Solanum lycopersicum: one gene and its partners. The protein of the gene in region 1 binds, or shares a complex with, the protein of each later gene. Links are inferred from orthologs where the notes say so. Each region holds a gene or a part of one and is shown in the gene's direction. Other genes may lie near its edges.

Region 1 (3,933 bases):
TCCATTAGCTGATAAAAATAGACGGTTAAGTCAGCTTACCAATTCGTTCCAACAAAACAAGGCAAAGGGTAACTCTGGAGTATCCTAAAAAAAAAAAGCTTATGAAGATTGTTGACTTTCAGTGTATATGCTTCTGTCGATCAGTAACTGGATTTCAGTCTATCCTTGTAATATAAACTTACACCACTTATGTTGCTTGATACTCTGTAGCTGTTTAGTGCTACACATGCTCTTGCTTTGAACTTATCCATCACATGTAACAGGTATGTCCCAGCATACTCAACTCGATTGAAGTACGAGTACGAAACTTGGGAGGTGTTACCTCATAATTCCTCCGATACCATGGAAGAAGCTGACCCTGTTTGGACAGAGAGTAACTGGGATAGAATAAGGCTTCGTGTCTACACAGTCCAGGACAGTGGATTTGACCTGTTGGTTCTGTTGTTAGGTATAACTGTCACAGTTTTGTCATACATTGTCATAGTAATTTCAAAAGCCTTCATTACAAAGGCCCTAAAACGAGATTAGCTTAGAAATTCTTGATAAAAACTTATTTTTGGTGCAATAGCATTCTGATTGCTTGTAAACACACATCCTCGAGAAGGAAAATGTAATTCTTTCGCTGTTATTACTCCTTAAAACGCCAGACGGAAAATGCTCTGCAGGGCGAAGAATTGTCATCGCCGTTGTGAACGATATTGATGTGTAAAAATTACAAGCTTTGAGATATTTGAAGTTTCTAACACGTCATTTACATCATTCACTTTCTTTGCATATTCTTCCTTTTAAGTCGAATATCTATATCTCTTCATATCTTCTTATATGAGGTAGAGATAAGATTTACGTTCATTATATTCATTTATGGGATTAGATTTGTGTATATTGTTGTTGTACTTATATGTCCCTAAGTCTGTTACCTCAAACTCTGAATTTTTTCATATCATAGACTAAACTTACCAAACCTATACATTAGCCACGAGTATACATCAATCACATAAGCACCGTTCTTAAAATCAAGTGATTTACAATAATATTCGTTACGTATCCTATGAGCGAAACTCCAAGTTCAACAAATTCTGATTTTGATTATGACGTTGATGTAAATAAGTCGAAATTAAAAGTTCACTCATTTTGGAGATTCGGGTATATTTGAACGCCCAAAAACTAAAAGGCCCATTTACTTCAAGCCCAAATCTCATAACCCGACCCGAACTCCATCCCCAATCAAATTTCCCTGCTCCATGGAAACAAAAACGTAGCACATCTGCTCTCCACACTCCAAAAACAAATTTACTCTCTCCATTTCTCCATTCGAATAACTGAAGATCAATCGCAATGGGATTAGGGTTACTCGCTTCTCGAGCCCTACGATCTTCTAGAATCATTCGAAACTCTACCCGCACCATCGTCTCCACGCCGGAGCTCAAAAACGCCGATGCTGCCGCCGCCGCAGCAGCAGCTGCGGACGCACCATCAGATCTTCCGAAGAGAAACCCAGTTGGTGGTGCTCGAGTTCATTTACCCAATCCGGATGATGTTATTGAGGTTTTCGTTGATGGGTACCCGGTCAAAATCCCTAAGGGTATGACTGTGCTTCAGGCTTGTGAAATTGCCGGAGTTGACATTCCGAGATTCTGTTATCATAGCCGACTTTCTATTGCTGGAAATTGCAGAATGTGTCTTGTGGAGGTTGAGAAATCTCCTAAGCCTGTTGCTTCTTGTGCCATGCCTGCACTTCCAGGTATCGCCATAGTTTATTGATCTAGATTTGTATTTGTATTTTTATGCTCAATTTAATGTTTTAATTGCTTATTTAAGCTCTCAAAAACGTTAGCTTTATCTATCCTCAATATCCATTCAGTTCTATTTGGACTCCCTATGGTAAAAAAGAGAGCTTTCCAAATTAACACTGGTGCTTAAGTGAAGTAGACTATATAGGATGGTAATGGTAATCATGTTCTTGTGAAAGATTTTATTTTGAGTAGTAATAGTGGACTAGTGCTGCTTGTCTTAATTGAAAACCAACTGAAGTTCTGCAAAAGAGGCTGTGTATATGCATCAAACTCGTGAACTACAGAAACCCCATGTGTGCATATCTATAGTTGTATTAATGGAGAACCAACTGAAGTATCCCCATTGCATTTCTGCAAAAGAGGCTGTGTATATGCATCAAACTCATGATCTACAGTGTCCCTGTGTGTGCAATTATATAGTTGTATTAATTGAGAACCAACTGAAGTATTACCATTGCATTTCTGCAAAAGAGGCTTTGTATATGCATCAAACTCATGATCTACAGAGTCCCCGCGTGTGCAATTCTATAGCTGCATTAATAGTCAACAGTAAACGGCCGGTCATTTGATCCTAGGAAAAAGAAACCATAAAAGTAAAGTCTTTTCATGTTACAGCTGTAGTTAACCAAACCATATATTATGGGCTAATGATATGTTCATTTGAGCTTGTTTGCTCGAGAGTCCGAGTGGTGATATTGCATGCATTGTATCAGTACTTCAGAAATGTTGATTGAGTCTTGTCAAAACACAAGTTTCTATTTTCTTCAGTTTCCCTTTTCTGAAGAATTATGGGAAGCTGGTATTTTCAATATTCTGTAGGTATTTTCTTTGGGTTAGTAACATCTTGACCTGTTGTGCATTTCACTTTACTTCATTGTTGCTTGTCATTTTATAGTTTTCATGAAGGCTGATCCTATTTGTAGTTATTGTTGAGTTATTATTGGCATTTTTCATTGTTTTGGTTTGCCATCTGTTCCTTGGATTTACATTAGTGTCGAGTCTTGCAAATTTATCTGGAGGGTACGCTTACAGGAATGAAGATCAAGACAGATACACCTATTGCCAAAAAGGCTCGTGAAGGAGTTATGGAGTTCTTGCTTATGAATCATCCACTTGATTGCCCAATTTGTGATCAGGGAGGAGAATGTGATCTCCAGGATCAATCTATGGCCTTTGGATCCGACCGCGGGCGTTTCACTGAAATGAAGAGATCTGTGGTTGACAAGAATTTGGGTCCATTGGTGAAGACTGTGATGACCCGGTGCATCCAGTGTACAAGGTCTGTGTTTGATCCTTACTTATCCTAGTGCTTTTTGCTAAACATAAAATTTGTGTGGTTCAATTTCTCATGGAAATGGAAGTTTAGAAATCAACCTTAAACCAAAACTTGATAAATATTGTTTAAGGTGTGGCAGGCCAACCGTGAACCGTCCATGCTACACGGATGCTTCATGTGCATTGATGTATCTTGATACTGGTGTCACTCAAGTATAGTTACATTTTGCAGGTTTATAATAGATTAAAAAATAGCAAAAAAGGGTAAAAAGGGTACAGATGTATACTGGATATTTACATACCTGCATCCTGAATCTGAATCGTATGCACAACTTTTTGATGTAACATAACCAACCGTCAATATTGTATCTTTTTATGTTCCCCAAATCTCATGAGAAAAACTTGCAAGTTAGAGCAGGAAATCATTTGAATGCTCGTCCCTTGTGCATGTGATTTCTAATTAAGAATAGTCAGAAGAAGAGAGAGCCTAATACCTTATCCCCCTCCCCCAAAAAGTAAAATAAAATGAAGAGGTAGCCTGATAAGATGGGAGTGATGATTTTCGTGGACATTGGCATGTTATAAGTGCCAATAGCTTAGCAGAAATTGCCGGTCTATCGTCCCCAATTCACTCCTATACTGCATAATTTGTGGGATGTTAACATTCATATTTTGTGGTTATATCACCCTACAACAGAACAATTTGCCACTGGCTCTTTCATATCTCTGACATGCTTCTGCCTTCTTGAGTTATTCCTTTCCACTGATAAACCTCAAAATTTGTCCTCTTTGTTAATACAGCTTTAAAAAAACTTCAGAACATGTATGAGAGATTGAGTATAGCAAATATATATTAGGTTTAAGC
Region 2 (3,334 bases), on another chromosome or scaffold:
ATTGAGAAGAGATACATTTTTACTGAAAAAATCAATTCTTGAATCTTGAAAGTAATTTCTTACCATTAACAATAATTAGATGGACATAAATATAGTTAATGTTTTTTTCTTCTTCTATTCACTTCACTTGTGACAAATAGAATTGCAGTTTACCTATGTCACTCTTGTAAAAGTTTCACTAAATCTTTTTTTATATATATAAAAATAATAATTTGGCGGACATGGCAGTTATAATTAAACATAATAATTGCTAGATCAAAGATTATTTACTGTTGAGATTAAATGAAAAAAGACTAACTGAGAATGGTTCTTTTATATTGAATTTGCCGCTCTTTTAGATTGAATTGACATAAATATAATTAATGTTTCTGATATTCTTTTATTCACTTTACTTATGAAAGATAAAGCTGCAGTTTAATCATGTGACTCTTATGAAGATTTGACTATTAATTATTTTTTGTTATAGCATACATGCGCCTCATATGTAGTCTACAATATTGATCAAACTTATATTTAAACGTAATAATTTCTAATCGTAAATAATAGCTTTAAGTGTAGTAATTTCGTAATTATGATAATTAGTAATATCATAGGAATTGTAGGTCACTACATAAAAAAGATTATAAAAATAAAAGGTTAGCGTATGTGCCCTTCGCACATTTAGTCCATTGTTATGATCAATTTTTTATTTAAATATTCAATGTAATAATAAATAATGTACCTTACACAATAGAGTGAGAAAAGAGAATAGAGTAGAAAGAGAGGATTGAGAAGAGGTACTTTTATAGTGAAAAATCAGTTCTTGAAAGTTAAAGGAGGAATATAAGAAGAACAATCAGGGTTTAGAGGGAATAAAACTCACCATTTCTTTGGCCTGGTCTCAGATAAAATTTGATGGAGACTTCCCAAATTTGCAGAAAAAGAGGGTTGTTTGCCTAGTAGACTTGCCCTTTTCAATTTCTACGATCTTTGTTTTTAGTGGGCTGGTCACTTTTGAGCCAGTGAATGTAGTTCTAGATTTCTAATTTTAATTATAAAATAAAGACCCAACTGGATCTAGATATGTATATTTTTGCTATCTAAATGAAAAGAGAGCCTCACAAAATTTGTTATATATATCAAATATATATGAATCACACTATATACGTCTATTTTGTAATAACCACACTTGGCCCAATGGACTGGTTATCCCTCGGAAGTCCAGATTCAAAAAAACTAGCCCACCCTTAGTATAAGGTTAAATTCGTCAATAAAATTCTTGAGTACAACCGCTAAAGCATAAATCACCGTTTTTGGTTTATTATACTTGCCTAGGGATAGTTGAAGGTGAATTTGTGCAACAATGGCGTGGAGATCAAATCTCTCTCGGAACCTGAAGGAGCTTCGCATCCTCTTCTCTCCATCCTCATCTGAAAGTGCTGCGACTAGGTATTTTCACAATTTTTATGAGTACTGCGATGAAATGTAGTTGATTGATTGATTGATAGAGTGATAAGTTAATTCCGAGTAATTTGTTTCATCTTTTATGTAGGGCGTTCATTGAGAAGAATTACAGAGATCTCAAGACCCAAAACCCCAAATTACCTATTTTGATTCGTGAGGCCAGTTCAATCGAGCCTCAGCTCTGGGCGAGATATGGTAATTATTTCGGTTTTCTTATACCTCTGCAGAATCTTACCCAGCTTTGCATATTGAAATTCTGATTACTCAATTCACACACAAAAAAATTGTTCCTTTGCGTTTGACTGGTAGCATTTTCATTGTTTTTGTTACATTTTCATTTTTCCTAGGTCCAGCTTAATTGAAACTTATAAGCAGACTTTTGGTAAATAACCTATTAACATTTGATCAGGTAAGGGATTGATAGAAATCTTATTCCTAAATTGCATAATGAAGTTCACATCAAAACAAATAAGCACGAAGGAGTCATATGCGACTCTAAAGAAATATTCTATGATGATGTAACAGATGTAGTGAGAGTGATTAAGATTTGAGTATAATGAATTGACTTGTAAAATTAGGTCTGACCTCTAGTTCCAGGGGAGAAGGATTGTTCAAGTCTTATAATGAGACCACCCATCTCATTAACGTAAGACTTTCTTCATTCTTCAAATGGACCTTACCGTGGTTAGGCATGTAGAATATCTCGTTTTCTCATAATGATACTCAATCCGTTCTAATTTTATATATCCTTTCCTCTTTGGGATGTTTCCAGTCAAGCCTATCCACTCATTTGTTCTAAACCAGAGTTTCTAGTTTCAAGATCGTGCTTTTAGTAAGCGTGTGGTGAGATGTTCCAAGCATGGTATCTACTGATTTTGCCATTGCTATGATTCAAAGGATTCACCGTTATTTGACACCATTGCAAATGTTTGCTACGTTCTCCTATGGACAAATTTGATGAAGTGTAATTTTCAGTTTTCTTTAAAGTCAGTATATTTCAAATCTGATGTAGTCAGTTGTTTTGAGTGATCTTTACCCTGTTCCTGTGGTTTGAACTTCTATTCATGGATTTTACTTTTTTAAATGCTTATAGACCTGGGAGTTGAAAGGGGCATCAGACTGGAGGGATTGACCGAGGAGCAAATCTCAAAGGCACTTGAGGACCTTGGAAAAGTAGGGGCATCCCTTAAATCTTGATGGCATTGGATCTGCAGAATTGTATTTCTTTGCATTCAGCACTTTGTAGAGTTCTGTCCTCACATTGTGCTTTCTAAAATAATCTTTTGGTGCAAGTTATCATGAATCAAAAAACCGTTCATAAACCTGGAATCCTGGGTATTTTGGCTTTTATTTGCTGTTGAAATGAAAATGTTTGAAATCGTTTGTTGCTAGCATTAGAAGTTTAACGTTATTCCTTCTATGCATTTAATCTTGTTGCGGTTGAAAATTTTGTAGTCCCAGTTTGTTTCTTGTACTCTTATAATGTGAGTTGACTAATCTATGCGTAGAGATAGCACTTAGGCAAATGAAAAGCTGCTAGCTATATACTCCAATCTTGTGTACTAAGGTAGAAATGAAATCTGAAGAAGAAATTGATCTTCAATTAAGGAATTTCCAGGAGGTAAGCCTAGATTTATAGTCTTGACTCATGAGTTTGAGAGAATTGACATGTTTACAATCTTCCTCTTTACATATAAAGAGGAGACAGTATAGGAAATATGGGAATTCTGCCCTCTGCCTGAAATATTGATATTTAAGCTCTGCAAGTTTCACCCACTCTTTGTTGAGCAACTGCTAGCACCAGTAATGCTAATGAAGAGATCTCATTTTTAGTCTTGATAAGCAGAATAGCTTGACTACAGGCAATTCCAAACTCCCCAATATAAGCCTT
Region 3 (4,279 bases), on another chromosome or scaffold:
GGGAGGGAGGATCCGCCAGAGAAAATGCAACACGATAGAAGAGTTCGCTCCGCCGCGTAAGATCCTCGAATCAAAATCAACCACGACTACTCTCTACGGTCCATTTTCGTTCTCTTCCTTGCCCGGGAAGGGGGATCAAAGAAAGATAGCTTGCTTCTCTCCTAGACGGAAGACGACTTATGTAGTGGTCGACCTTCCTACCAGAATGCTTCCTTGGTCGAAGAGCCCCTTTACCTCTAGCAATAGACAAAATAGATTGCTTTTATTTTTGTTATTTTTTTGGCATTAAACGTCCTTTTTTCTATCGCTGCTTCAAAATAAAAAAAAAACTGATCAACTTTTACTCTCGACTTATGAAAAATAAAATAATTTTCATAATCTTGATAAATAGAGTTATATAATACATGTTACTAATGAGAGGTAATAAAATATTTCGTGAAATTATTTAAAGTGCACGAAGTTGATTTGAATTTTTAATAATAAAAAAAAAAGATAAATTACCATATATTTAATGTTTAAATGTGTATTTAAGCAAAACTTATAGTTTATATTCAATTTTGTGAGTGATAATTTTATATATTTTATATTTATACAAATTTTAATTTTCCCATCTTATAATTTTATATTAAATAAAAAATACAATAATAAACTTTTAATTATAATTTTTATCTTAACACACTACACTCTTATAAAGGATAAAAAATCGATCTATTAAGCTGCCTTGGAATTTTGTGCTTTGCGATAGTATGGATAATATAACATTATTTTTATGGTCATAGCTCATAAGTAAAAGATCGCTGTTATTTAAAATTTAATTTCAATTATTCAAATAAGTGAACAAATTAAGTGAAGTTTTTGTCTCAATAATTAAATTAGTTCATATATGTGAGTTAATAGGACGGTTCAGTTGGTTATTTTTTAAGAAATTATATCATCTTAATTTTATTTTTACGATTAAATTGTCATCTCAATCATATTAGTTTCTTTTCAATATCGGTATGATTTAATTAATTTTCGTTTTTTTTCTTATTTTTCAAGTATCACCTCAAAATATATTGTTTTTAAATATTTTTCAGGTATATTTTTAAAGAAATACTTCACTTCTTCATCAGATGTCAAGAATATAAAATGTTGTTATCGTGGTGTTTGATCTTAAAAATTTAATAGAAATGCTTGCATGTTTTCTGTATCTAAGACGTAAGTTATATTTATATATTAAATTTAACATATTAGTAACATATAAAATATATTTACATACATGTGAGGTTATTAGATTCGAAAAATTATCACTTTTTTTAATTGAAAAGATCATTTGAATTATTTGAGACAATTATACACTAAAATAAAAGTCTACAATTATTAAAAAAGTGATAAAAATTCATTGGATTTAATTTTTTATATTCTTTTGATACCCACAGATTTTGATTTCCCCTTCCCAAATTTTTCTTTTAAATTAAATCTATACTTGAAATTAGGATCAAAATTAAATATTTTTTGTATCTCACCTGAGCACTATAGTTTTTATATAATTATTCGCCTAAATACATCAGAGTACAAAATACTCGTATGTTAGCAAAGTAATGTATGCGTGAATTTATACGAGACATACGCCACATCACCGTGAAAATAAAAATACAAAGGGCAAAGTAATATCTGGCTTCATCACTTCGGCCGGATTCTATCATCTCAGGCAAATGGCTAGCTCTCTCCGACGACTAGCGACGCATTCCTCTCAAGCCGCCTGGCGATCTTCTGTGACGCCGCTATGTAGACAATTTGCGTCAGAAGCGTTGGTCGAAATCAAGCCCGGAGAGATCGGTATGGTCTCTGGTATTCCAGATGAACATCTTCGTAGAAGGGTATAATTTCTTTTCTTTATGTCTCTTCGCTAATATCTATTATTTTGTCAGGTCATTTAGGTGTATGAAAAACTTCATTGTAGGTTACCAATTTATTAGGGCTTCTATAGCAGATCCATGGGTTCCGCTATTTAGGGTTAGCAAATGATTTGGGAAATGGATATGGAGGATCCATATAGTTAGAATCAATTGATTTGAAATTGATATAGTTGATTGATTGCTTTTCATTTTTGCCTTTGTGAATTTATGTTACCTCTAATCCGAAGACTATTCCTTTTTAGCCCTCCTTTTGTCTTCCTCGCTCCTATTCAATGATATAGAAGAGACCATAGCTGCTTAGACACTTGTGACAAGTAAAAAGTTGTAAGTTTTCATGGTAGGGAGTAGTTTCTGCTTGGCAAGTATTAAGTTGAACTTGGACCTTCTAGAGCTTGAATTGATAAGCCTTAATATCAGACCCCAGCTTGGATTAATGCAAACTTTTTCCCCACGGAGGTTTTTCATCCATTTCTGCACAAATTTAGTTATATAGATTTCTTATCAAATCTATAATCTGATCTATATCATCTATACGAAGCTGTTTACACCAAAAAAGTAGAGATAATTCACATTTATTTCTCTCTATGTTCGTGTCTATTATTTTATTTATCCCATATTTTTCCTTTCATGTGCATGGTTGGTTTGCCCTCTCTTTCAATTTTGGTTATATACAAATGTATTGGCTTGTTCAATTTCTTCAACTCTTATATTCTCAAATTTCTTGAAGTGTTTAAATGTGCCAAATGATCCTAATCTTTCTTTTAGTACATATATTTTCTGTCTCTTCATGTGGAAAATTGCTCTCAGTTAGTGGATTAGATCTTATGCACCATGCCCCTTTTGGTAGTTAATAATGTTTGCTCACCAGGTTGTGATTTTCTCTCCTGCTCGGACTGCTAGTCAACAAGGCTCTGGAAAAGTTGGCAGATGGAAAATCAATTTCATGTCTACCCAGAAGTATGTTTTTGGATATCTTCCTTTTCTTTTCATTATTAAGAAGTTAGCATGGTTCACCAATATTAGTCTATTTTTAGCCAGCACAAAATCCTGCAGGACTTTGTACAGTAATTACAATATACAAACTCATCTACCTTATCCTTCTGTCCTGTACTAAACAAGAAGAAACAAAGAGAAAACCTTAAAGAAAGTTTTGACAAGTATAGATTATAAGTTTTTTTTCCCGTTAAAAGACTATAATTTTAATTGTGCCTAGGTCTCAAAATACAATGTTTGACTATGAAATTTGGACCACAACAGGTTGTTTGGTTTGTGAAGGTTAAAGAGATTGTGAACTTATTTTCCTCTAGTGGTTCATATAATTATAGAGATCTGGACATTGGTGTCTTCCTTTTTATCTACTCCCTTTGAACCATTTCATATGTCACCGTTTGACTTGGCATGGTGCTTAAGAAAAAAAGGACTTTTGAAATTTGTGGTCTAAAACAATCTTAGAACATTTGTGTGACCTTAAATCATTTCATTAAGGTAAAAGGGGAATTTTAAATTAAATTGTTTCCAATTATAGTAAGGTGACACTCTTTTTGGGACGGACTTAAAAGTAAAGGGTGGAAAGGGTTCCACATAAAATGGGACTGGGGAGTATCATTTAATACAATGTTGGTGCATCTGATTATGGGGTTTTTTTGGTCGTGGAGGGAGGTAATTAGGAAGGTATATTGGTTTTGACAACGCCAAAACTCTCGGGTTCATAAAAAGAAATTACTAATAAGAGTCCAGAGTTCTTCCTATGCTGTAAAGATCAATTATTGATTAACTTTAAACTTCAATAGAGAATGAACCCCATTCATTGAATTCAGCTTAGCCAGACGGTGTTTCTTCGAGTTTACTTAAGTAGAAAAATTGCTGATTGTTGATGAAAAAAATGTATATTCATATCAGAAGATGCTGAGAGAGAAGCACTCATAATTTATGGCCATGGTAAAAGTTTTGTACTCTCCTCTATGCGAATCAAACTATTTTATCCTGGGTAATTTCATGGATGGTCATCCAACTAAAAATCTTAGTGCACCAAAGCTATAAAATTAATTTTTGTAATGGAAAATGACTCTTAACTATGCGCAAATATCACATTAAATAAAAAACAATAATAATGCTAGAATCTGGTCATAGAAAACACAAGTAGGTTGCTAAATTGTATGAAATTTCTATACAAGTACAACCACGTCAGCAACTCAACCCTTAGATAATATCTACGTGGTGCTACCTAAATGAACAATTTTTTTCCGATCCAACTTACTACCCGACATCTTTACTGTGTGAGCCATCATTTTTTAGGACAGATTTATATTCTTGTAAGTGGTGTCACGTGGATATTATGTAAGATTAGTTGCTGAAATGACAACCTACTTGTGTTTCCAGAC
Region 4 (4,248 bases), on another chromosome or scaffold:
GCGTGGAGGGTATTAAAGTTGGGGGCGGGCTAGGGCATTGGAAGGAAGGATGTGTTTAATAGAATTTAGAGTGCAATAAATAATAGATGTGATCATACCAGCACTAATGCACCGGATCCCATCAGAACTCTGAAGAGAAGCGTGCTTGGGCAAGAGTAGTACTAGGTTAGGTGACCCCTTGAGAAGTCCTCATGTTGCATCCCTCCTTTTTGTCGAAATTTGATCTTGCAATTGAAAAAATATACTTATTTATTTATTTTTGCAGAAAATACGTTCGGATTGAGACGTCATTTGGATATGGGTTAGGGGCGTTAAGGATGGGCGTGAGGGGCGGCGTCATGCGTCGGTGCGTGGAGGATTTTAAAGTAGGGGGCGAGCTAGGGCGTCGGGGATGAAGGCTATATTTAATTGAATTTAGAGTTCAATGAATGATGGATGCGATCATACCAACACTAACGCACCGGGTCCCATCAGAACTCCTAACTTAAGCGTGCTTGAACGAGAGTAGTATTATGATGGGTGACCCCCTCCGAAGTCCTTGTGTTGCATCCCTCCTTTTTTTCAAAATCGGTCGTGTAATTGAAAAATATTTTTATTTATTTATTTTTGCAGATACGACGTTCGGATTGAGACGTCATTAGGATATGGGATGGGGGCGTTGAGGATGAGTGTGACGGGCGGCGTCATGCATCGGTGCGTGGAGGGTTTTAAAGTATGGGGCAGGCTAGGGCGTAGGGATAAATGATATGTTTAATAGATTTTTGAGTGCAATGAATGATGGATAAGATTATACCTGAACTACGACTTGTCAACATTGAACGCTAATATTTTCTTAAAAGAAAACAATGACCAATGGAGAATTGGGGATTGGGGAATGTCGAATCGGGAATGGGAATCGAGATGGGACAGTTGGCAGGGTGCAGGCGGGTAGCAGGCTTTTCAGCCTTTCAGAAAAGTTGTCAACTCTGACAGTGGGAAATAACTTTTAAAAATATAAATTAATTAATAAAAAATAATTAATCAAAATCAAACTGAAATACGATCGAATTAGAATGGAATCGGAATAAACCGATATAAACTAGTACTGGTACACCAGTATGTGATACCGCTCCGTTTCATATACCGGTTCAAGGTGTCCCGTTCCGTCCTGAAGATCACCGGATCGGAACGAACCGGAATGGTATCGAAACGGTACCGGACCAATACTAGTACAACCCGATCCGGTGCCAATCTTAATAGCAATTATCAAGTTGTGCAACTTATTACATCGTCTAAGTGAATATTTCAAATATAAAGTTAATTTTTGATGAGTAGAATATCTCCCACAATTTAGTTTTTATTAAAACGCCCAGAAAGGGCAACTACGAAATATTTTCTATTTCAGGAGGTCACTACGAAATATGGAAATTTTTTGTCATTAAATAAGTTTGGTTATAAAAATTTCAAATAAGGTACGTGAATGTAATATCTAAAACTAAAAGAGAAGTAAATATTATAAGGCCAACAAAAAGGGAGGTTTTTCGAAATTATATCAAACTATAATACCAAAGTATATAGCAAACTACCCTTTGCTTCTCAAGCCTTTAACTCAATATAGTTTTGCTATTTCTTACTTGTTCAGTGAAGGCAGAAAGAAATCATGTCCCAAATACTGAAGCGTCTCAAGGTGCCACCAAACTCCGCCAGTTTAGAAGAAGCTCGCACTCGGACCTTTGAATTCTTCCGTATGTGCTGTAGATCCATCCCTCATGTAATGGAAATCTACAACTTGCACGATGTCGTTACACCATCCCAACTCCGTTCTGCCGCCGCCGCCGAAGTTCGCAAGAATGCCAATATTACTAACCCTAAGGTATCAATCTGAAATATAACCTCTTCCTTTTCGGATTTGAAATCTAATTTGCTTTTGAATTAGGCGATATCCGATTCAATTGGAAAAAATCTTGTTTGTTGTGAATTGGGGTATTCAAAATTGAATGCTTTCTTTTAGTAATCTGATTGGAAATTACGGTGGAGCAGAGTTTGATTAGATTAGATTGTGCGATAATATTTTTGTTCTGGAAAGAGAAAGACCAAGAAAAAATTGAATCCGAGTACAAAAGTTTTTTAGTTTACTTCTGATTTACTGTGGCATTTTGTTTAACATTTGCAATTCGTGAGAAAGCTATGACCTTTCAGAACCTCCATGAGGTAGTGGTATGGCTGTATGGTACACTGTACCCTAGCCAAACTCCACTTGTAGGATTTCACGGGCTATGTTGATGTTGTTGATTTGTGTTGATTCATGGAGAGGGGAGGGGTGGGGTGTGAGGGAAGAGGATTTAGGAATAGGCGCTGGAAGATGGATTTTTTGCTGGACTTTTATTCCACCGTTATGATACAATTGAAATGGACATTCCTCTTAACATCTTTCTTGAAGAGAGATTAGATTTACAGCGTTTTGAGAAAAAAATCATTTCTCTTTGCAGTTGTGCGTTTTATTGAATAGGAATTTCCAAAATGAGATGCTAATGCTCAATATTTGAAGTTGAGAATTAAGAATCGTGCTAATCTGAATTAACTTTATTTTAAAGTTGGTCTTGAATTGGATTCAAATATAGGATTTAAATCTTAGTCTTTTGTTTAACTGATAGACAGAGGATTCAAGTGCAATTAAGTAGTTGTGCTGACACGCCATAAATTTGGTGATTATTCATTTGGATCAAAATCATGTTTGAGTTTTTCTTACACTTATTACTGCTACATCAGGTTTTGGTGAAATTAATTTGTTTAGATGGCTGATGACGTCTAAATTAGTTAGTTGGAGATACTAATTGTCGAATTACTTGAACTTTATTATTTAATATCATGAGATTTAGTTATTTCCAGCTACTTATGATGGACCAAGGTCATATATGGGCTTGGACTGATGTTAGAACTGAAAAACTGTGGATTAGGGACTGGTTTAAGGTCTTGAAACAGTAAAATTTGCCACCTTACATTGAATGTGTCTACATCTGTTCTTCCTTGTAAGAAGACATTTTTTTGGGTAACTATGTGTATAGGGAAAAATCTGTGCATGTGCAAAAACCTAAGAGCCAAATAACAAAAGGCTTTAGAAAAACTTAATCAAAACTGCCTATTTAACCTCTCATCTACTACATCTTATTACAGCCTCACTCAACTAGGATAATAGTTCAACTGTTAGCTGTGTTGCTTGTTTTGCACATTGGGCTCCTCTGATATGAACCTCCTGCTCGATCTTTCGACTGACCTGCTGCTTTGTACTCCTCTTTCCTTGGAATTGTCTCTGGTTTCCTTCTTTTCATGTATGATAAACACATGCCCCCAATACCAACATATTGACTTCTGCTTTGACCTTTTCTCTCTTAGCTTAAGTAACGGCCCATCCAATCTCCTGTTGCCAACCTATTGGATGCCTTTCAATGTTCTCTGCCAGTAGTAAGGAAACATATACTCAGTAGAAAAATGATTCATGTTTAGCAAAAGTAATTGCTGGCCTACAAAATAAGCTTAGGCTATTTTGTTGTTTAGATTAAGACCTTGTTAATAAGCCAACAGACAAGTTCCGGCTACTCTTTGTGCATCCTCGTGATGCCATTCTGAGTGGTATCTTCTAATCAACAACTCTTTTATTATTACTTGCCTCCCAGGGCTTGGTTCATTCTTGCTTTATGATTGTATTGCATCTCTTGATTTTAGTATTTTATCATCTCTTTGGGAAGTGGATACAAGCAAAATAGCAGGCAATGTTATATAATGATCATTCTCAACCAATGATAAAGAATCTATTCTTCCTAGGGGACGAGAAGAGTCAAATATTAAGGCAGCGTTTGCTTCAAAAATATAATGAAGAGTTCTTGCAGAAAACTTTCTAATGTTTTGCAAGAACTGTTTCTCAACCAAACAGTCTGTCATGGATTTACTTCGAGAGGTTCTCTTTTTCCCAGGTTAAAGATGTTTTTATTAAAAAAAAATTCAGAGGCATTTGGATATAAGAAGTTCCCTAAACAATTGAAGAAGTTTTTGGTGGAAGTGTTTAAAAGGTTTTTCCAAAAGGAGTTCCATTTTTTTGTTTGAAGAGTCTAAATGCACTTTTTAAACTAAAAACACTTCTGCTCTTGAGAAGAGCCGACAAAAGATGTATTGTTGAAGACAAAATAACTTTTCTCCCAGGCACATTCCCCAACACTTGTCTCTCCTACTTTTCTAGGATGGGAGAACCCTCTTTCCGGCCATCTTCAGCCT
Region 5 (4,132 bases), on another chromosome or scaffold:
TTCATCAGCATAGACTTTAGAAAACTGGACCATTTAACGTACTTCTTGGTGGGATGAGACTGAATGCCAAATTACAACTACGTCATATCAAGTATGCAATTGTGCTTAGACTCGCGTGGATGCAGCAGTGCCAAGGTCATACCAGCAAGGCTGGAGCTAAGCTAATACTATGAGAAGGAGTTGATCGGTTGGAATAACATGCAACATTGAGTTTGGCAATGTCTGTCACACTGCTCTAAGGCAGTATCTGATGTGTTGATGATCTTCTTACTGGACAGAGTACTTCTCAAGTCGCGAATATGGTGGATTCTGACGAACCAATTTTGAAAGCCTGAGAAGGATGAGGGAGTGTAAATAGCAGTTAGTTTGTATCAAAAAATGATTTAGGTTTTATGTACAAACGTTGACACCGAGTATAAGTAATTTTGTATATCTAGTTTTTATTTAAATGTCTTGCAAATTCTTCGTTTCTTTATTTATGCGTTTGAACCTAGTGTCTTAAGTGGAACTTCACATTCTTGTATTTCTTTCTTCCCCTAACGATACAGGAAAAAAAATATTTCGTAGTGCTAAGTCGGACTAAGCTTATTCCTTAGATATAGTTATTATTTAGCCATACTTTAATTTAATTGTGGCGGTAACAAACTATTTGTTGGTCGCCTTTCTCTAATCAAACTTTCGCTTCCTCTCGCTTTTTATACAAACACAAATGTATCAAATACGTTTGTGTTTGTATAAAGCGAGAGAAAAGTGTATGTATACATATATTTTTATTCTACTCTCCCAGATCTCGCTCGCCTCTCTCGCTTATACAAACAAAAACGAAAATATATAAATTGCATTTCTGTTTGTATAAATCAAAAAAAAAAATTGTATATACACACGCAAATACATATATCTTAGTCATATACACTTATAATTATACAATACAAATATTTCACTGCCCAATTTTCTTTTATCTTTCTCGTTTTATACACACGCAAATTATTCAATTGATCTTTTGTATACAATTGTTTCTTTTGTATATATATACCGAATTATATAACTGGTTTCTTTATATATATATATATAGCGAATTATATAACTATTTTTTTTGTATATATATAGCGAAATATACATATTTATGTTTACTGTGTAGCGCAATTAATTGATATAACATACTAATATGTGAAAGCTACTAAAAAAATCACTATGTTGCATAAATAAGTAGAATTTACTTATTTTTGGAGAGTTAATATAATTTGATGATAAAAATTATATATATAGAAACCGGAAAAAGGAAAAAAGAGAAAAGAGAAAAGAACTAGTAGTAACCAAGATCTGGTCCGAGTCGAGGGAGGCTAAATCGCATTTGTTGAATAGCAGTGGGAATTTTAGCGTTGGGGCAAAATATCAATGGCATCAAAACAAGGCATGACAATGGCTACCAATCTCCTCAAAACCCTAACCGGAGCATCTTCCATTGTCCGGTCCAACACCAGAAGTCTCAGCGGCGTTGCTAGCAGCGAGGTCATCACCTCTCATACAGAGAAATGGATGCAGGTTAGATTCTCCTTTTTCTCACCTCGTGCTCTATTTTTCTATTGATGTTTCTGGTCGGATTTGTACTCATCGTCATCGTTGCTGTGATGCCCTAGCTTATGGATCATCAAAAATTAAAATATGTATTAGCTACTCTATTCTTCTCTACGCTGTTTTTGTCGCACGGTTTTCGTTATTGATAATATATTCATCTTCTTTAAAGATGTGTGTGTTTGTTCTCCAGTGGACTGCTTCATAAGGAATTTCCAAATTTGGAGACACAAGGAGGATAGGATTAAAATCTCTTTTTAGAAACATATGTAGTTTGATACTCTAGGAAGTTTGGTTGTAGAAGAATCTGATAAGCAGAGCTGTTATTTTTTTGGCACAAATAACAAGGATAAAGGTATAAGTGAAGGTGAAAATTGATCTCTCAAGTGAGGATTAGGATTTTCCCACCTTTTAGGACGGACTTCATATCTTGTGCAAAGGGAATGAATGCTGAGTATTGCGTGTTATACCAAAAGTATGCAATTTGTTTATATCACATGGAGAAATTGCATTTGAAATAATGTTTTAAAATAGCTCAAGAGAACAATACCATGATTATTACTAAAAAATATCAGTATGTTTCATGGACTTTGAACAATACAAATATGGAAAAAGGGAACAGATATCCATGCATATCCTCAAATCTTTTCTTCTTTGCTGATATGAAAGGATTGGTGGGATTAAAAGACGAATTAAACATTAGTAAAAGCATATGAGTGTATGTAGAATTTAAGTCAGGATATGTGCTGGGCTGAAATCAGATCATCTCTTGGTACTTTCAAGATTGTGCCAAAGCAGAAATGCACCTAAGGAGTAGATGCTGCAAATAAGAACTGAACAAAATAACCTGTCAAGATTAAAGATCCAGTGAAAAAGAAATCATGGCACTAAGAGGTCACCCCACCCCACATCTGTGTTGCCGTTAAAACATAAGTGTGAAGAGAAAGTGGAATAGTGAAGCCATTGGAAGGTAGAACACACAATCAAAAGGAAAAACCGCAAATTGAGAAAACACTGACAACATTTTCATAGAAACTATTCAAAAAGGAAGTGCATCCCATATCTGATTTTCTACTTACTATTTTGGGTTGTTACAAATATGTTCACTTTCTTAAAAGAACACTTTTTGTCTAGACTTTCTGGTATTTCTTTGTTCTATTTTTTTTAGAAGGTAAGATATTTATGTGTGAATAAAATAAACTACTCAAAAATTCTGTAGACACTCATATTAATAGTGTGGAGTAGAAAAGAATTTCTAATCCTTTGTCTTCTCACAAGGATTCTTGAACATCAAAAACAGATACAAGGTCTTTTAAGTACTCTTGCTTACACACAAAAATAGAAAAGGACTAGACGCTCATTTTAGCTACTTGATGTTAAGGGATTTATTTTCAAAGCATCTTTGATTTCTCTCTTCCAAAGTATCCACCAAATACACGTTGGGACAACCTCATCACTCTTCCTGATCAGAAAGGCTGCCATCTCCGTTCCATCATGCGAGAACTAAAGGTATTCTCCTTAGCATAGTGCACATAAAACCCCTTAAGTTGATGAATATCTTCCATAACTGAACTGTCAACTCACAATGTAAAAAGAGATGATTGATTGCCTCAGCCTCCTCTCCATGTAAGTAACATCTAGAGCATAACTGGTATCCTCTCTTGGTAACGTTGGTTTGTGTCAAAAATGGCTCTTTTGTCAAAAGACATGTAAAGCTAGCAAATTTTTTTTGGAAGTTCCTCTATCTTCTTCCAAAGGCTAATATCCAATTTGATTATTTGAGAGGTTGAATATTTACAAGCTGACTTAACTCAGAACTTGCCTTGCCTATTCCCTTGCCAAATCATGTAGTCATCTGCAGTAGAGGTCTTTTGGAATTGTTCCAAAGTACTGTAAAACTTAGTTAATTTGCTAATCTCCCAATCATGTAGTAGTCTTCTGAAGCTTACGTTCCATCCTTTAGTTTCCCATACCTCTCTCTCTGTTGCTGCTTGTTGCTGACTCAGATTGTGAAGATCAGGAAAAAGTTGTTGTAGTGATCCTTGACCAATTACCTTCCCAAAAAGGTATATTCATTCCATTTCCTACTTTGAAGCTGGACTTGTTCATGAATTTCGACTAAAGATTTCTGATCGACCTCCAAAGACAGTTTATAAGGACCACTCACAGAATTGGTTGTCCACTGTCCTTCTATCCCATACTTTTCTTTGATTACATCTTTCCATAGTGATCCGTCTTCTGCAACAAATGTCAACCACCCCATCATTGAACTTTTATTCTTAACTCTCAGATTCTCAATTCTGATTCCCCCTTCCTTCTTAGTGGTAGTGAGAGTACTCCATTTGACCAAATGAGTTCTTTTTTTGTCATCGGTACCTTGCCAAAGGAAGTTCCTTCTTAGTGCATCTATTCTCTTCGCTGCATTTACAGGAACTGAAAATAAAGACATTATATAAGTAGGCATTGCATTTAGTACAGTGTTAATCCGAACTAGTCTGCCCCTCATAGATAGATATTGGCTCTTACAGTTTGCCGGCTTCCACGTCTCTCTAAAACACCA
Region 6 (4,210 bases), on another chromosome or scaffold:
GGAAAAAGAGTGGGAGAAAGGTGAATTGTATATGTATATCGATTAGATAATTGTATATTATATATTTGTATTTGTATTTTGTATATATGGCAAGCGAGTCTGAGAGAGGGAGGAGAGAGGCGAGCGAGTCTGGGAGAGGGAGGAGAGAGGCGAGCGAGATTGGGAGAGGAAGGAGAGAGGCAAGCGAGTCTGGGAGAGAGAGGAGAGAGGTGAGCGAGATTGGGAGAGGGAGGAGAGAGGCGAGCGAGATTGGGAGAGGGGGGAGAGAGGTGAGCGAGAGAGGACAGAGAGTGGAGAGGTGAATTATATTTGTATATAATTGTATATTATACACATGCATTTGTATATAGGGCAAGCGAGATCGGGAGAGGGAGGAGAGAGGCGAGCGAGGGAGGGAGGGAAGAGAGCGAGAGAGAGGTGAATTATATATATATATAGGTTAAATAATGTATATTATACACGTGTATTTGTATATTATGGCGAATTATACATATACAAACATGACTAGCTATACAAACTCGAAATTATAGCAAATTATAGCTATGATGAGTAATTAAATAGTATAAGTTTGATTTGTTGCGTAATTTTTCCTTTGTAAAATGATGCCCAAATCAAGCTAGTTACCAACCCACTATGAATTGGGATAATTGTATAGAATGACAAACTAATAATATAAAATAAATGTAGTAGCTACCGTTTGATTTATTTGTGTTTCATAGCAAACTGTTTGTCAGTCCCTCTCTCCCTCATATTCTCGCTCGCCACTCTCCCTCTATCGCTCGCTTCCTTCGCTCGCATCTCTCGCTTTATACAATATAATTGTATAAATCGTGATTCTAATTGTATAAAGCGAGAGAAATTGTTTATACACATGCAAATACATATATCTCTGTCATATACACTTATAACTATACAATAAAAGTACTTTTCTGCCCAAGTCTCTTTTGTATCTCTCTCTTTCTCGTTTTATACAAATTCAAATTGTATATAATTTTTATCTTTCTAGTTTTATACAATTCGATTTAATTGTATATTCCCTGCCCAAGTCTCTTTTGTCTTTCTCCCTTCCTCGTTTTATACAAATTCAAATTGTATATAATCGTCCTTTACACTTATAATTATACAATTCGTTTTATACAATTCTCCGTCAAGTCTCTTTCTTTCTTGTTTTATACAATTCGCTTCAATTGTATATGTATAGCGAATTATACGTATATATATTTGCTATAAAACACAATTATACAAACCTTGCTATAGCATACAAATATAAATTTTATATTTGCTACATGTGAAAGTTGCCCATCGCATTGACCAAAGCCCAAGTAGCCAAACGTATTGTGGCCCAACGATACGAGAGCCCAAATATAGTCCTCATAAATTCTAATGGGCCTGCCAGTTTAAGGTCTTCATCAGGACACGCGAACAAGGAACGTGTGTGTGGCACGCAGAACATTCATAGTGAGACTTCCGATTTCTCCCTTTCCTCCCCAAAATCTCCATTTTCTCCGACCACCGTCTGCTCGGAGCAATCGCCGGAGACTAAAAATGTTCGGTCGACTCGCTGCGCAACGTCTGAACGAGATCCGAACGTCCATCCGCCGAACTACTCAGGTCTAATCCTCGTTTATGTGTTTTCCATTTCACTTTGATAGATTGGTTCTTCCTTCCTTTTAGTCTAAATCAATTATATTTTTTCTGTTTTACAGGCATCGCGATCTTTTTCCACTGCACTCAACTATGTGAGTTGTTATCTAATTGTAATTTCGGAGTTTAGATTCGAAATTTGAGTATTCGATTGCGTGTTTATGTTTTTATTTGTTTGGATTTTTATTATACGCAGCACATTGATACACCGGACAACAAAACGGACCTTCCTTGGGAGTTTAATAATGCAAACAAGGAAAAGGTTAGCAATGCTTATTATCCTCCAGAATACTTAAGAGCTAATTCTTTGTCATATCACTTGCAACATTTTTTTAGAATTTACATCAAAAGTTTGAATTTTTGCTATTGCTATTCTGTTTTTCTTTCAATTTATGTGTGGAAATTGAGAGCTCTTGTTACCAGGATTTATGACATCTCCTTTACTGAATGTTTCAAACTTTTCTGAATCAGAATATAATTTCTTTGTATGTTTTGATGAAAATGTATTCTGCTCTAATCTATATCTGTACTATTATCTGTGTAAGCTATTTAGGTGCCTATCTAGGCTTTGAATATCTGAACTTGGTTGAAAAATTGCATAAAAATTATCTTGGCTGACTCAAGTTTTGAGCTTGTCTGCGAAATGAATAACAGCCTTTGAAATGATCTACCTTACACCATAAATTCAAGCTACATCTGTATGAGAAGATTGTCTAAATGAGCATTCAAACTTAGTTTCTCATTTGAAAATGAATGGGAGAAAAGTTATTTTCTTAAAAGAACCTAATGATCAAGTCGCTTCTCTGCATATCCAACCTAAAGAGAAGATTGGAGAAGGAATAAAATGTGGAGAGACAATCACAAATAAAAGGAAAATACTTTCAAAGATAGTAGGGTGATTAATGTTGTGGTTCAAGGCCAAATACATTCCCTGTTTGTTGCTTGGGCCTATTTTCATCATGTTATTCAGTAGCGCTTCTGATGCATTGACTCCAAAATTGTAAAAGTTAGAAACATCTTCTTCTATAGCATTCTTCAGCAGAGGTCATAACTTAATTTTTAGAATTTACTAATCAAAGAAAAGTATAATACGAAGCTTCCTGCATCATAGAGATTTTTGAAATGGATTTTGAATGTTGATTAGCTTCAATAATCCAATTTCAGAGGATTACCATAGTAGTGTACTTACACTGAATCCATGCATCTCTTTAATTGGTAGTTCTTCCGTTAACAATTTTATCGTCTATCTTTCCTACTTAATCCTCTGATGCAATGTGCAGGTGAAAGAAATACTGTCTTTCTACCCATCCAACTATAAACAATCTGCAGTGATTCCTTTGTTGGATCTTGCACAGCAGCAAAATGGAGGGTGGCTACCTGTTTCGGCGATGAATGCAGTATGTTGACACTGTTCAGATTGATTCTTACTATTTGCATTATTATAAAGTTTGTCCTGGTGATCAGCATTATTAACGGTTACCACTTGAATTTTGAAATTATTTGGTGATCTTCTTTACAATTAATCAGCATTTGGTTGCTAGAACCAATTCAGCTTTAGTTCTTGCCATAATTATATTTGTGTTATTTGGCATGTGTACTAACTTGATTTTTGTATTACCATTACCCCTGTTTCCTTTGTATACCCTCAAAGTAAGCACACTGCAAGTTGCCGTTCCTTATTAGGGGTTATTTGTTATATGATTTTTCTGCCTATGTCAAATTGGCATTCAAAAGCACCTAACCTAGTCTTCTAAATGCTTAAGGTGGCTAAGGTTGTTGAAGTTGCGCCAATTCGTGTATATGAGGTTGCAACTTTCTACACGATGTTCAACAGGACAAAAGTGAGTAGTTTGTCTTGACCTTTGGCTTGTGCAAGTGCAGGAAATTTAGAACCCATCTTTACTTAACATAGCTTACTCAGTTTCTTGTCCCTTTAGGTTGGAAAATATCACCTTTTGGTTTGTGGCACAACACCTTGTATGATCCGTGGTTCAAGAGGTATCGAAGAAGCTATACTGAAGCACCTGGGAGTAAAGCGCAATGGTCAGTGTTTTATGGAGGTCTTTCCAATTATTTTATTAGCCTTTTTAATAGTCCTAATAATCCTTCTTGATGAAAGAATAAATAAAATAGCCTTAATAATCCTATCGTTGAAACATGTTCTTATTCTGGTTCATGACTTATTCATGTATGCAGAAGTAACTAAGGATGGCTTATTTTCTGTTGGTGAGATGGAATGCATGGTGAGTCATTTTTCATACATCTATTGATATTGACCTTGATTCTATTTGGTGGCCTTGAAAGCATGTCCTACATGACCGCTTTTGTGAACTATTTGTCTCATTTACTTTCCAAACCTAAGATCTGATGTTGAGATTGGTGCTTGTTATGCTCAACTGTTATGCAATAAATCACATGACCATGATTGTGCGTTGTGACTGATAGTAACTAACTTAAGGAGTAGAAATTGGCTAATCTTTAGTGTTGGATGGCTGGAACTTTGGTTGATTGTATCTTGTAAGGAAAATCTACTAAGACACTAGAGATATTCTCAGTTTGTGGCCTT
Region 7 (3,993 bases), on another chromosome or scaffold:
TGTCAAAAAATAAATGAAGGATCATACAAATTTTGTCTACCACATAACACTTGTGCCTCATTCGTCATAAAATTTTTAGTATATTCTCAAATGGTACTAGTGAAACAGAGGCATGGGTAAAGCATATAATTGAGCTGCCATCATTGTCAACAACAACATCTCTATTTACAACAATCATAAAGGAGAGATTGTATGGATTCCAGATAGTAATTAACACTTTGCACATGTTCTTATATGACAATGGATTGAAACAATGGGGAAAAGTTTGAGATACAAAGGAATTATGAACAACAATGTATCACGGATCCGTATAGTGTTTTTCTATATCTTGTAGAAAGTATTAGGCCAAGAGTTAATCTAGTATTGAACCACCTACGAGAAATATGGTGGACTCATTTATCCTTAATCAAGACGTGGTGGATTTAGGTAACGTTGATACATAGTCATTTTTTTTACGGAGCACTTTATTTTTAACGTAAAATTTTTCCGCACGAATTTAAATTTAGTTGGACTTCAATGTGAATATAAACACCGGTGAAAAATTAAAAATAAAATTAGTATCGAACAAGGATTGATTCTAAGCACATGTATGGTTTAATTTTATGTCTCTTGTTTAAAATACTACGTTATCATTACTCTTCTATTAACTTATTTTTCAATTCTACTACTATTTGTTGTTTTCTCTGCATTGGTCTTAGTTTTTTTTATATGTTTTAGCTTAGTCGAGTTTTTAGCAAAAACAACATCTTACTTTTTTACGATAATAATAAATTATTTACACACCACTCTTACGATTATTATTATCGCATTTAGAACAATTTATTATCAAATGTTCTAACACACGCGTGTGTATTGAGGATTCATTAGCACTAATGGCTTTGTTTTTAGATGATATTTAAATTTTGTCTATGTACACATCCAAACCTAACATTAACCAAAAGAGTAATTTTTCAAGCTATATCTGTTAACTTTTAAAATAGGGAAAGAATATAATATTTGGGTATATATTGGACATTAATGGCAGACGATAAATGTATATCACTGGTATACATGATTTTTGCATATTTCGATCATATTGGTACATTAATGGCAGACGATAAATCTTTTAACTTTGGTGTCACTAAGGCCCATTACGACATTTCCTGAACACTAAGGCCCATCATGATATTTCATACCCATCAAGCCCACTACGTGGACCGTCATGATTCACAAATCGCAACAGCTTCATTTTCCCTTATTTTTTTCTTATTTTTATGAGAAAGAGAGCTTCAATCTCACCCTAATCTGCTGGAGAATCAGCTGAATTTCGTCGATTAATCACATTTCTGCTTCAATATTCATGGTAAGTCCCTATCTTCGATCTGTAATTTTTTTGCGCCACCAAAATACAAATGAAAATTTGTTGTGAGAATACGCCTTACGTGCATTTTGATGCGTCCTCGGTTTGTTCGTTGATTACTCTTTTGGTACTCTTCATAGGATATTTATTGCAAATTTATATTTTCAGAGATGTGGCTTAATTTTAACTGATTCGAATGGCCATGGTATTCCTAGAAAGATGAATGATGAGGAACCCTAAATTTTATTTGGCTAGCACATGTGGGTATTGCTTTTGATCTTTTTTGATTCCTGGATAAGTTATTCAGGAGAGGTGTTGCTTCATTGATCTGCTTTCGTTGAAAAAAAATGGGTTATTTTTTTAGATTGGAGTATGTTATAAGTTATGCAAGTTCATATTTTGAACCTAACCTCCTTATCAGAACTCTTTAATTCATAGACTCCGTAGCTTCTTTTCTTTGTTTGTGTGTGTTTTCAACTTTGTAATTTAGAATGAGTTATATGTATATAGATTAATAAGGAGTTAGTGTAGTCTTCCGCTGTACTTTGAATTAAGCTCTTTCAAGGTAAGCTTCTTTTTTCAGGGAAAGAAAACCTTCATACTCTATTACTTCGGAAGGCTTATGTATTTATTTTAGAGAGGTAGATGTAAATTAAATTAGTACCTAAACTTTGAAAACAGTTAGTTAGAGATGTTTTGCGTAAGTGTTTCCTCCCCTCCCCCACCCAGACATCAAAAGGAGGGTATTCTTTTTGTTTCTTCCCCTCTTGTGCAATTCCCTTAGCATCAGGTATTAACAATCTATTTTGGGAATAATTTTTTTGGAAATGTTACTGTTACTCTCTCGATCTTATGTTTCTATTCAATCAACTCTGCTTCGGTGAGTTTAGCAAAGTGTACCCCATCTAAAGCCTGGAAAAGAGTTGTGTTGTGGTTGGTCTCCTAGAAAAAGAGAGTATTTTGCAATCATGATGCATAGACCCATCGCTTAGTGCAGTATAATACAATCTTTTACCTTTGTAATTATGCTTGCTCAGTCTCGCCTCTTATGAGGCTAAAATTACTGATGTGTGGCATGTTCTTCTAACAGGCACCTATAAAGGGCCTTCTTTCTCTACAACGAACTGCATTAGCTCAGCGTTCTAGTGAAAGATGGGGCCAATATGGTAGGTTATTTAGCACTCAGGCTGCATCAACTGCTAGCACTCCCCAACCTACACCCCCACCCCCACCTCCCGAGAGGACTCACTTTGGTGGCCTTAAAGATGAGGATCGTATTTTCACAAATCTCTACGGATTGCATGACCCTTACCTCAAAGGTGCCATGAAGCGAGGAGATTGGTACAGAACAAAAGATCTTGTCATCAAGGGTTCTGACTGGATCGTGAATGAAATGAAGAAATCTGGTCTTCGAGGACGTGGTGGTGCTGGTTTTCCATCTGGTCTCAAATGGTCCTTCATGCCAAAGACAACAGATGGCCGTCCTTCATATCTTGTCGTCAATGCTGATGAAAGTGAACCTGGAACCTGTAAAGACAGGGAAATCATGCGGCATGACCCACACAAGTTGTTGGAAGGCTGTCTGATTGCAGGAGTGGGGATGAGAGCTAGAGCTGCTTATATTTATATCAGGGGAGAGTATGTGAATGAAAGGTTGAGCCTTCAGAAGGCTAGACAAGAAGCCTATGAAGCTGGATTGTTGGGGAAAAATGCTTGTGGATCTGGTTATGATTTTGACGTATATATTCATTTTGGTGCTGGTGCCTATATTTGTGGTGAAGAGACAGCTCTTCTGGAGAGCCTTGAGGGCAAACAAGGCAAACCAAGATTGAAGCCTCCATTTCCAGCTAATGCAGGACTATATGGATGTCCAACAACTGTTACAAATGTTGAAACAGTAGCTGTTTCACCAACCATCTTAAGGCGTGGTCCAGAGTGGTTTGCTAGTTTTGGCCGGAAGAATAATGCCGGGACAAAGCTGTTTTGCATCTCAGGCCATGTTAACAAGCCCTGTACAGTTGAAGAGGAAATGAGTATTTCATTGAAGGAGCTGCTAGAGAGGCACTGTGGTGGTGTGCGTGGAGGATGGGACAATTTGCTTGCTGTTATACCAGGAGGTTCATCTGTTCCACTGCTTCCCAAGAACATATGTGAGGATGTACTTATGGATTTTGATGCACTCAAAGCTGTGCAGTCAGGGTTGGGAACTGCTGCTGTAATTGTCATGGACAAGTCAACTGATGTTGTAGATGCAATTGCAAGGCTCTCGTACTTCTACAAGCACGAGAGTTGTGGTCAATGTACACCATGTAGGGAAGGCACAGGATGGCTTTGGATGATCATGGAAAGAATGAAGGTTGGCAATGCAAAGTTGGAAGAGATTGACATGCTCCAAGAGGTGACAAAACAGATTGAAGGGCACACTATTTGTGCCTTGGGTGACGCTGCTGCTTGGCCAGTACAGGGTCTTATTAGGCACTTTAGACCAGAGCTAGAAAGGAGGATCAGGGAGCATGCAGAGAGGGAGCTACAACAGGCAGCTGCTGCTTGATTCTTTTATGAGGTTGGTTCTTAAACTTTTGTTACATTTACATTGTAGTGTTTGATACTTGATAGTAACCATGAATCATCATCTTAATAAAACATTCATCTAA

What was found.
Region 2: the proteins of NADH dehydrogenase [ubiquinone] iron-sulfur protein 1, mitochondrial (region 1) and NADH dehydrogenase [ubiquinone] 1 alpha subcomplex subunit 2 are in contact, whole or in part, in a cryo-EM structure (PDB 8BED), measured with the Arabidopsis thaliana proteins. The link is inferred for Solanum lycopersicum from reciprocal best matches to the Arabidopsis thaliana genes EMB1467 and AT5G47890. Residues at the interface, in NP_568550.1 of Arabidopsis thaliana: Lys397, Asn401, Arg402, Met403, Gly404, Asp406, Asp418, Ala419, Asp420, Leu421, Arg422, Tyr425, Leu563, Asp564, Gly566, Gln570, Arg679, Lys681, Ser682, Val683, Pro685, Asn686, His689, Glu692, Glu694, Pro695, Ala696, Ala697, Phe698, Ser701; in NP_199600.1 of Arabidopsis thaliana: Lys12, Glu13, Arg15, Leu17, Leu18, Gln20, Arg29, Val32, Glu33, Tyr36, Lys37, Lys40, Ser41, Lys45, Leu46, Pro47, Ile48, Leu49, Ile50, Arg51, Glu52, Cys53, Ser54, Val56, Trp61, Arg63, Met66, Gly67, Glu69.
Region 3: the proteins of NADH dehydrogenase [ubiquinone] iron-sulfur protein 1, mitochondrial (region 1) and NADH dehydrogenase [ubiquinone] iron-sulfur protein 4, mitochondrial are in contact, whole or in part, in a cryo-EM structure (PDB 7AR8), measured with the Arabidopsis thaliana proteins. The link is inferred for Solanum lycopersicum from reciprocal best matches to the Arabidopsis thaliana genes EMB1467 and FRO1. Residues at the interface, in NP_568550.1 of Arabidopsis thaliana: Gly61, Gly62, Ala63, Arg64, Val65, His66, Lys87, Gly88, Phe89, Thr90, Gln93, Glu96, Val97, Asp101, Arg104, Tyr107, His108, Ser109, Leu111, Ser112, Ile113, Ala135, Gln175, Glu178, Cys179, Asp180, Asp183, Asp266, Lys288, Ala289; in NP_201560.1 of Arabidopsis thaliana: Ile55, Tyr57, Ser58, Pro59, Ala60, Arg61, Thr62, Ala63, Thr64, Gln65, Ser66, Ser68, Leu71, Val79, Thr81, Leu82, Lys83, Glu85, Thr92, Asp103, Lys126, Lys128, Lys129, Asn131, Thr132, Pro133, Leu134, Leu135, Lys136, Val137.
Region 4: the proteins of NADH dehydrogenase [ubiquinone] iron-sulfur protein 1, mitochondrial (region 1) and NADH dehydrogenase [ubiquinone] 1 alpha subcomplex subunit 6 are in contact, whole or in part, in a cryo-EM structure (PDB 8BED), measured with the Arabidopsis thaliana proteins. The link is inferred for Solanum lycopersicum from reciprocal best matches to the Arabidopsis thaliana genes EMB1467 and AT3G12260. Residues at the interface, in NP_568550.1 of Arabidopsis thaliana: Trp361, Arg362, Leu365, Ser621, Pro645, Thr646, Ala650, Arg651, Asp652, Trp654, Lys655, Ile656, Arg658, Ala659, Glu662, Val663, Asn671; in NP_566416.1 of Arabidopsis thaliana: Lys120, Thr121, Phe123, Leu124, Phe127, Tyr128, Thr129, Ser130, Asn131, Tyr132, Phe133.
Region 5: the proteins of NADH dehydrogenase [ubiquinone] iron-sulfur protein 1, mitochondrial (region 1) and NADH-ubiquinone oxidoreductase-related protein are in contact, whole or in part, in a cryo-EM structure (PDB 8BED), measured with the Arabidopsis thaliana proteins. The link is inferred for Solanum lycopersicum from reciprocal best matches to the Arabidopsis thaliana genes EMB1467 and AT3G03070. Residues at the interface, in NP_568550.1 of Arabidopsis thaliana: Pro167, Leu168, Asp169, Cys170, Pro171, Ile172, Met198, Lys199, Arg200, Ser201, Val202, Val203, Asp204, Val214; in NP_566191.1 of Arabidopsis thaliana: Ile69, Ala71, Pro83, Ile84, Glu85, Phe86, Ile87, Cys88, Asp90, Leu91, Lys98, Tyr99.
Region 6: the proteins of NADH dehydrogenase [ubiquinone] iron-sulfur protein 1, mitochondrial (region 1) and NADH dehydrogenase [ubiquinone] flavoprotein 2, mitochondrial are in contact, whole or in part, in a cryo-EM structure (PDB 8BED), measured with the Arabidopsis thaliana proteins. The link is inferred for Solanum lycopersicum from reciprocal best matches to the Arabidopsis thaliana genes EMB1467 and AT4G02580. Residues at the interface, in NP_568550.1 of Arabidopsis thaliana: Val203, Lys205, Val225, Ser229, Gln235, Asp236, Leu237, Gly238, Ile239, Leu240, Gly241, Arg242, Gly245, Glu246, Glu247, Gly249, Thr250, Tyr251, Val252, Glu253; in NP_567244.1 of Arabidopsis thaliana: Asn33, Tyr34, His35, Leu36, Val90, Met93, Ala103, Ile105, Arg106, Tyr108, Glu109, Thr112, Phe113, Tyr114, Ser115, Arg119.
Region 7: the proteins of NADH dehydrogenase [ubiquinone] iron-sulfur protein 1, mitochondrial (region 1) and NADH dehydrogenase [ubiquinone] flavoprotein 1, mitochondrial are in contact, whole or in part, in a cryo-EM structure (PDB 7AQR), measured with the Arabidopsis thaliana proteins. The link is inferred for Solanum lycopersicum from reciprocal best matches to the Arabidopsis thaliana genes EMB1467 and CI51. Residues at the interface, in NP_568550.1 of Arabidopsis thaliana: Gly115, Asn116, Cys117, Arg118, Leu121, Lys129, Pro130, Ala135, Met136, Pro137, Lys153, Ala154, Glu156, Gly157, Val158, Glu160, Phe161, Leu162, Met164, Asn165, Arg194, Phe195, Glu197, Met198, Arg200, Ile219, Gln220, Ile239, Gly241, Arg242; in NP_196470.1 of Arabidopsis thaliana: Gly225, Ala226, Gln243, Lys245, Leu248, Pro250, His399, Glu400, Ser401, Cys402, Gly403, Gln404, Cys405, Thr406, Pro407, Arg409, Glu410, Gly411, Trp414, Met417, Ile418, Arg421, Met434, Glu437, Val438, Lys440, Gln441, Ile442, Gly444, His445.

What each region holds. Positions count from the first base shown.
Region 1 is NC_090810.1:5,106,024-5,109,956, reverse strand, and holds the start of NADH dehydrogenase [ubiquinone] iron-sulfur protein 1, mitochondrial, read left to right. Parts: upstream 1-1,133; 5' UTR 1,134-1,335; coding exon 1,336-1,741; intron 1,742-2,825; coding exon 2,826-3,072; intron 3,073-3,933. Other genes in the region: nicastrin, read left to right, coding at 264-528.
Region 2 is NC_090805.1:49,614,993-49,618,326, reverse strand, and holds NADH dehydrogenase [ubiquinone] 1 alpha subcomplex subunit 2, read left to right. Parts: upstream 1-1,140; 5' UTR 1,141-1,342; coding exon 1,343-1,428; intron 1,429-1,531; coding exon 1,532-1,638; intron 1,639-2,536; coding exon 2,537-2,640; 3' UTR 2,641-2,834; downstream 2,835-3,334. Other genes in the region: protein yippee-like At3g08990, read right to left, coding at 863-865. UniProt on the Arabidopsis thaliana protein: Accessory subunit of the mitochondrial membrane respiratory chain NADH dehydrogenase (Complex I), that is believed not to be involved in catalysis. Complex I functions in the transfer of electrons from NADH to the respiratory chain.
Region 3 is NC_090801.1:69,719,192-69,723,470, reverse strand, and holds the start of NADH dehydrogenase [ubiquinone] iron-sulfur protein 4, mitochondrial, read left to right. Parts: upstream 1-1,479; 5' UTR 1,480-1,694; coding exon 1,695-1,859; intron 1,860-2,766; coding exon 2,767-2,855; intron 2,856-4,279.
Region 4 is NC_090800.1:36,265,460-36,269,707, reverse strand, and holds the start of NADH dehydrogenase [ubiquinone] 1 alpha subcomplex subunit 6, read left to right. Parts: upstream 1-1,448; 5' UTR 1,449-1,639; coding exon 1,640-1,852; intron 1,853-4,248. UniProt on the Arabidopsis thaliana protein: Accessory subunit of the mitochondrial membrane respiratory chain NADH dehydrogenase (Complex I), that is believed to be not involved in catalysis. Complex I functions in the transfer of electrons from NADH to the respiratory chain.
Region 5 is NC_090802.1:56,164,211-56,168,342, forward strand, and holds the start of NADH-ubiquinone oxidoreductase-related protein, read left to right. Parts: upstream 1-1,332; 5' UTR 1,333-1,395; coding exon 1,396-1,542; intron 1,543-4,132. UniProt on the Arabidopsis thaliana protein: Accessory subunit of the mitochondrial membrane respiratory chain NADH dehydrogenase (Complex I), that is believed not to be involved in catalysis. Complex I functions in the transfer of electrons from NADH to the respiratory chain.
Region 6 is NC_090808.1:60,905,153-60,909,362, reverse strand, and holds the start of NADH dehydrogenase [ubiquinone] flavoprotein 2, mitochondrial, read left to right. Parts: upstream 1-1,410; 5' UTR 1,411-1,545; coding exon 1,546-1,611; intron 1,612-1,706; coding exon 1,707-1,739; intron 1,740-1,840; coding exon 1,841-1,906; intron 1,907-2,924; coding exon 2,925-3,041; intron 3,042-3,407; coding exon 3,408-3,485; intron 3,486-3,581; coding exon 3,582-3,687; intron 3,688-3,840; coding exon 3,841-3,887; intron 3,888-4,210. UniProt on the Arabidopsis thaliana protein: Core subunit of the mitochondrial membrane respiratory chain NADH dehydrogenase (Complex I) that is believed to belong to the minimal assembly required for catalysis. Complex I functions in the transfer of electrons from NADH to the respiratory chain.
Region 7 is NC_090801.1:65,985,258-65,989,250, forward strand, and holds the start of NADH dehydrogenase [ubiquinone] flavoprotein 1, mitochondrial, read left to right. Parts: upstream 1-1,193; 5' UTR 1,194-1,339; coding exon 1,340-1,342; intron 1,343-2,429; coding exon 2,430-3,890; 3' UTR 3,891-3,902; intron 3,903-3,993. UniProt on the Arabidopsis thaliana protein: Core subunit of the mitochondrial membrane respiratory chain NADH dehydrogenase (Complex I) that is believed to belong to the minimal assembly required for catalysis. Complex I functions in the transfer of electrons from NADH to the respiratory chain.